Canis lupus familiaris: one gene and its partner. The protein of the gene in region 1 interacts with the protein of each later gene in a biochemical or structural test. Links are inferred from orthologs where the notes say so. Each region holds a gene or a part of one and is shown on either strand. Other genes may lie near its edges. The genes, in order: ETS2 and ZMYND11.

The links.
Region 2: the proteins of ETS2 (region 1) and ZMYND11 form a complex in vitro, tested with the Homo sapiens proteins (2 studies listed by BioGRID). The link is inferred for Canis lupus familiaris from reciprocal best matches to the Homo sapiens genes ETS2 and ZMYND11.

What each region holds. Positions count from the first base shown.
Region 1 is NC_049252.1:33,537,938-33,540,973, reverse strand, and holds the end of ETS2 (protein C-ets-2), read right to left. Parts: intron 2,998-3,036; coding exon 2,782-2,997; 3' UTR 739-2,781; downstream 1-738. UniProt on the Homo sapiens protein: Transcription factor activating transcription. Binds specifically the DNA GGAA/T core motif (Ets-binding site or EBS) in gene promoters and stimulates transcription.
Region 2 is NC_049223.1:33,552,483-33,556,300, reverse strand, and holds part of ZMYND11 (zinc finger MYND domain-containing protein 11), read left to right. Parts: intron 1-650; coding exon 651-858; intron 859-1,081; coding exon 1,082-1,150; intron 1,151-1,870; coding exon 1,871-2,143; intron 2,144-2,422; coding exon 2,423-2,608; intron 2,609-3,818. UniProt on the Homo sapiens protein: Chromatin reader that specifically recognizes and binds histone H3.3 trimethylated at 'Lys-36' (H3.3K36me3) and regulates RNA polymerase II elongation. Does not bind other histone H3 subtypes (H3.1 or H3.2).

The DNA of each region.
Region 1 (3,036 bases):
CAACCACTGAGCCCTAAAATGTGTTCTAATTTCTCATATGGTGAACACTGATGACCAGTGGTATTCTAGTAAATGTTTAAGAACCAGCTCCTGAGGGGGCTTGAGGGAAGCCTGATTTATATAGGGCCTGCTGATTTTCATGGATTAAATATAAATACTCTTATTACACCATCACATTCAAGGTACCAATATGTCACTGATACAAAGTTGGGAAGGGACCTGTTCTCACCCGCCTGTGGGGAGGGACTCCAGCACACCTCTGATATAACCCACCTGTTTGCTGGCATCCTGATGGACTCTGAAGTGTGTTTGAGAACCCATCTCCGAGGACCATCACTCTCACCTCTTGGTAAGTCAGCTCAGCCATGTCAGGCATCCTGAAGAAAGTCCTTGAAGTTCGAATGCTAACGGGGTTCCTCACATAAGCATCCTACAAACTCTTCTGTTATCTCTGCCAATCCCCCAACAAAGACAAGGTGCCTGTATCTTTCTATTCTAATCCCCCCCCCTTTTTTTTTTTTAAATTCTAATCCCTTCTTAAAGAATTTTTTGATTTAAGGGAACACTTTTTGGGGTCCTTAAGAAAGAGCTATAGTTGGTTGTAGCTTGGTCATGATTTACTAGGTGACCTGTGTGTAAAATTGGCTAAATGGACAGTGGATCAGGGTTCACTATCCTCACTCCACCTCCCCTCCTCCCTGTTGGGGTGGGATGAATGAGGATTCTTACAAGGAAGCATTTATATAAACAAAATACTTTATTATTTGAGAAAGAAAAGGCCAGATTACAAAATCTTTATACTGAAGTCTGTTCATTACCACACCAAAGGTTTATAATGGGCTTTAGTTTCTGTAACTATTAGGTTGAACCACATGAAACTGCCAACTTTGTAGATAAAAAAAGTCAAATATTGGCAATTTCATGTGGTTCAACCCCATATAAAATGAGCCAATGGCTAAGATTCCCTTTGGCAGCAAGATGTTCCCAGTCACATGTCTGTTGATGTTATAAACAGATGTCTGAGTGATAAACATGTCCTGCTTGAGAAAAACATCCTGTGCTTAGACCCTGGAAATGGTCTCGTGTAGGTACTGAGCGACTGGTCCCCCAGCTCCGGGGTTGCTCTTCTCAGCAGGCCCCGCCACCCAGCTTCTCAGCCTTATTACACAGATGGCCTCTCCTCTAGGGACACCAGCCCCTGCTCCGAGTGCCCTCCCACATTGCAGGTGAAGCCCGTCTGGCTCTGAAACCAGGATGACTTGATCATTTCCAAGCATCCCGAATGCACGCCCACCCAGGGGGCTCCTTCGAAACCACCATGAAAATTCTCCATCGTGAGCAAAACGTTTTTCTCACATCAAATCCTCCAGTGGATTCTCTTTCCCATCTTGCTTGTCCTCTCTCTGCCTCTGGGCATTCTGCATCCACGAAAACAAGAACACGGAGCTGTGGGTACTGCGCATACAGGAGTAGCATCGTGTCCGGACAGCCCACGATTCGCCAGGTGAGCAAGGACAGGACAAGTCGGGTTTTGCTCACGACCTCTCCGTGAAGATCACCCTCCCGCCTCCCACCTGCCCTAGGCTTCAGCTCCCAGTACAATATGTTTAACTTCACACGGGACGCAGATAAAAATAAAGCTTTCTTACAAATTACATTTTTTTCCAGTGAATTACTTCTGCAGTAAAAGTAGCTGCTACATAAATCCCTCCTGCTCTCTGAAAAGGAGCCACATTATTTCCAAAAATAGCATTCTTATTTTAATCATACAGAATAATTTGGGGCGCGGAGGTGGAACCCGGGAAGGAAATGGCTGGTCGGGGAGGTTAGTTGTTGGGGAAACACAGTCGAACTAAAAAATAAAATAAGTTTTGTGTAGAAACGGATTTAAAGGCATGCACGGAAATGGAATACATATGCCATTTGTCAAGAAAAATACTGCTTTATAGCTTTTACATTACAATTAAGGAGAAAGCAGAGGCGAGATGCGCCTCCAGATAATAACATTAAGTGTTTTTATAAAAATTCCCAAATGTACAAAGTCCTTGCCAGATAATAATCTGGGCAAAACAAAACAGAAACAGGGACTGACCCTGTTAGACGTATACCTGTAGGCATATCAAATGTAAATAATACAGACTTTACAACTTCTTCGTCTGGCCTGGCAGACTGTTTGCAAAACGCTGCTGGTGCTCTTGGAAACCGCAGTGAACACCGGACGTCTGCGTTCTCATTTCAAATACATTTGCAGAATTATTTTAAATTACAATATACAGTTCTCGTTAAATAGGACTCTGAGAGGATTCTGACAACAATTATTAGGGTTACAGTCATATATACAAACTAACTTCTGAAATGGCACGCCTGGCTGAACCAAAGAGACCACTTCTGCCTTTGTGATTCCTGGCTGCCAAAGGCAAAAAAAAAGGCAACAAACAACAACAACAACAACAACAAAAAAACGTGTGCCCGAGGCATGCTCGCTCGCTCCTTTGGAGAATATCCAACGGCCTGAAGGTTCCTGCCGCGCGGCCTGCTCGGAGCCAGGACGGCTTCCCAGCGCTTCCTTCTCGGCCATTCTAAGAGCATCATAAATAGTGTGTTCCCGTCAGCAGGCTTTAGAAGTGGGAAACCATGCTGCTTTGGGTGAAAAAGCGCGGTTTCCGAGGAAATAAGGCCACTGCTTCGTGGGGACTTTCCTGGACGCGTGCGATCCCGCCTTTCAGGGTCCTTGGAGCAGTCGGTGGGTCGGGGGGCTGCCGGCGCAGCACAGGGGGGGCCTCAGTCCTCCGTGTCCGGCTGGACGCCCAGGATGGCATGCAGTTCCTCGGGGGTGAACCCCAGCAAGTTCTGGAGGTCGCACACGAAGCGGTACACGTAGCGCTTCCCCGACGTCTTGTGGATGATGTTCTTGTCGTAGTAATAGCGCAAGCCGCGGCTCAGCTTCTCGTAGTTCATCTTGGGCTTGTTTTTCCTCTTTCCCCACCGGCGGGCCACCTGGACGGACACGGGTGGAAAGCGTCCAAATGTGCGATT
Region 2 (3,818 bases), on another chromosome or scaffold:
CCTGCCCGAAGGCCCAGCGTGGCGCATCCGCGGTGTGTCCTGCAGCTGCAGACACGGCCCCCCGGGGGCCGTGGGCCGTGGTCCGCTGCCTCTGGGCGCCCCTCGGTGGGGGGGCATTAGCCTGGGGAAGTTTCCTGGAGTTTGTCGGCTCCTTGGCTCCTTCTCGGTAGAGCTGCATACGGGTTCACATCCAGTCCTCGGGGTCTGTGTTGCCCGCAGCGGGTTCCTGGCCGTGATGACGGGCGCCTCTGTGTCAGTCAGGGTGCCTGGGAGACAACGACGTGCTGGAGCCGCTATGTGGTGGGTCACGGTGTCGGGGCCCTGCTGCTTGTACGGATCTGTGTGTACGCTCGGCTCTGCCGGCCTCCGCCCCAGCCAGGTGTGCGTGCCTCTGCAGCAGGAGGGCCGGGAGCCGCGGGGGCTGTGGCTGGGCTGCCCGGAGCCCAGAGCCCACAGTGGGGCCGGTGCGTTGGCCAGTCTCTCCCGCTCCGGTTCTGACCGTCCTCACTGCTTTCTCCTCGGTGAGCGTCTGCGTTGCAGCCGTCCCCCACAGCCTCGGGGCGAGGAATCGCCCCAGGTCCTACTTTGTACTGGATAGAGTCTACTAGCGTTCCGGAAATTTCTAACTGTGCCTCTGGTGTTCCTTGAAGGGCATGGATCCCTTCTGAAAACATACAGGACATCACAGTCAACGTTCACCGGCTGCACGTGAAGCGCAGCATGGGCTGGAAGAAGGCTTGTGACGAGCTAGAGCTGCATCAGCGCTTCCTTCGTGAAGGGAGGTTCTGGAAGTCCAAGAACGAGGACCGGGGAGAGGAGGAGGCGGAGTCCAGCATCTCGTCTACCAGTAATGAGCAGGTGGGTGTCCCTGTGAGAGGCGGCTGTGCACACAGTTGACGTGCCCTTCCCTTCTACAAACGTTGGTACAAAACCCACCCACGGGCCACCCGCAGCCTGGTCCCGAGCCCACCAGGGCCGAGGCTGCAAGGATTTGGGGGAGCTGAGCACAGGAGGGAACAGGTTGCTCACTGTTGTCTGTAGTGTCTGCAGTAACACGCTCTTACTTGTGTGATGCCCGCAGCTAAAGGTCACGCAAGAACCAAGAGCAAAGAAAGGACGACGTAATCAAAGTGTGGAACCCAAAAAGGAAGTAAGTTGCCCGCCCTGCAGTGTCCAGGTGGGCGGCTGTAGGAAGTGCCTCCCTGTCGCGGTCACGACGGTCCGCCCCAGGGGTGCCGTCCATACCCTCGGCCCAGCTGGAACCCCACCGTCTGCCCGCCCGCCCGCAGTGCCAGAAGAACACGCACCAACCTGGAGTCTGCGTCGCACGGGGAGGGCGCTTTGCTGCACTTCCTGGAGCTCTCCTAGTTACTCAGCATTATGAGAAGCGGAGCATTTACCCGATCCTTCAGTTAGGTCAACGTTGAAAAACTGGAGGAAAGTGTGGCTACGCTCCGCCTCTCAAAGTTGTATGTCCATGCTCTAAAACCAGGTACTCATCTGGTGACCCATGCTCAGGACATCTGTTAATGAATCTGGTCCACAGCAGCGACTAAATTGATAAGGGTTTTACGTCTTATATGGTATTTTTCTTTCGTCTGTCTGGAAAGCAAAGACTGTAGTGTTCATATGCCACAAAATGAAGTTCCTGTTTTAAATTCTTGCTATTCATTGCGAGAAGTTTTGGGGGCTTTTTTTTTGTTTTTGGTTTAGTTGTGGTAAACTACACATGACACAATTGACCATCTCAATTACATGTTTTTTAACAGTAGTTCATTACCCTAGTTTTATCCTCCTAGAGCTCGTTCTGGAACCAGGACTACTAACAGGCGGCTTCGTGTCGCGTCTCAGCACTGTCCTTGCTCTGCAGGAACCAGAGCCGGAAACGGAAGCCGTGAGTTCCAGCCAGGAGATCCCCACCATGCCTCAGCCAATCGAAAAGGTGTCTGTGTCAACTCAGACCAAGAAGTTAAGTGCCTCTTCACCACGAATGCTGCATCGAAGCACCCAGACCACCAGCGACGGAGTGTGTCAAAGCATGTGCCACGACAAATACACCAAGATTTTCAATGACTTTAAAGACCGAATGAAGTCTGACCACAAACGAGAAACGGAAAGAGTTGTGCGAGAAGCTCTGGAAAAGGTAAGGCCACCTGGAGAACCCTGAGCGTGACGGGAGCGCTCCGGTAGTGCGTAGGCAGCTTCTCTTGGGCATCAGCCAGGCAGCTCCTTTTTAAAACTAGAACCATCATATAATACCTTTTATAACGTTTGATTGCTAGTAAACCTTGTTTTCCTTCACCTAAGACGTGTACTGCTCTCAATGAAACACAGGGAGGGGGTCCCCCCTTTCCGTAGGAACTGTGGAGTGAGGTGTGTGCATCGCGGGCGGGCCAGTCACGAGCTAATGTTCTCATTCCAGCTGCGCTCCGAAATGGAGGAAGAGAAGCGTCAAGCTGTAAATAAAGCTGTAGCCAATATGCAGGGTGAGATGGACAGGAAATGTAAGCAAGTAAAGGAGAAGTGTAAAGAAGAATTTGTAGAAGAAATCAAGAAGCTAGCAACACAGCACAAACAACTGATTTCTCAGACCAAGAAGAAGCAGTGGGTAAGTACGGTTTGTTCTCAGAGTGTGACCCATGAACATGTTCCACCCAGTGTCATGGTGGTGAAATGGTCTGCGATGCAAGTCACCTCAGAGAGACCTACGTGGTTATGCCAAGTTTATACCTGAAATAAGCTCAAATGTGAAATGATCAGCTCTAGATGGGTTTTATATTTTTACTAGAAGTCCTCTCCCCGGTGAGCTCCAGGACCCCCGTACTGAGTACCGCTCAGGATTACTTCGCTGAGTCTGTGAACCCTCAGACGTGTAGTTACTGTGTCTGATTTACGGGACTACATCCATGCACGCGCCGTCCCCTGAGGTTGGCCTGCTGACTCCTCATGGCCAGGGCTCAGTCTCTGGAACCTGGTGTCAGCAGTCGCGACAGCAAATTAAGGATTTTCAGATCATGCTGCACAGCGTTTATATGTTAGTCTTTTCACTCGATTTACTATTCGATGGTGACGTCTCATGAGCCTCTGACTCCACGTAGAATCTGACACACGGTTCCTTTCTCACCATGTCCTGTTGGCGGCTCTTCCCTAGATTGGGAGCTCGGACCACATCTCAGCTAACTGGTGGGGGAAACGTTTGTGAGTCTTCATGGGATCCAGACTACCTTTTCTGAAGCAGGTCTTTCCACGTCCAGTAGGTGTTCCCTCAGGAAAGTGACCACTACAAATACCGTGATAGAGAAAGAAAAGGGAACTTAGCATCTAATTCAGAACTTGATAGGAAAAGCAGATGAGTAACGAGATAAATACCGCTAGACAGGAATTAAGGTGTACTCCAGATAATCCCCCGCGCCAGGCCCTGGCGCCCTGTCATTCTGTCTCATGCAAAGACAAGAGAAAGCTAGAAAGTGGGCCCTAGACTTATAAGGTTACTGAGGAATCAAAGAAATGAGAGGAGAAGGCTGTAATAGGGAAAGGGAACGCTGCTCGTCTAGCATTCCCCAGCCGTGAGACTGCTGAAGCCCTGCTGGTGGGTCTGCTTCCCTGCCTCGTCCCCCACGTCAGTACCGCCCTGCGGCGCCCATCACTGCCAACACTCTGTGTGTCTCCAGCTTGTCGCAGCTCCAGGGTTTCTTCTTTCTCGGGGACAGACAGTACTCCACTCATCATCATCTTTCTTCACCCATGCCCTGGTGGACGCGGAGGCCGTGCTTTGCTGCACGTGCGGCAGTGAGCGTGGGGCTGCTCACATCTTTGCA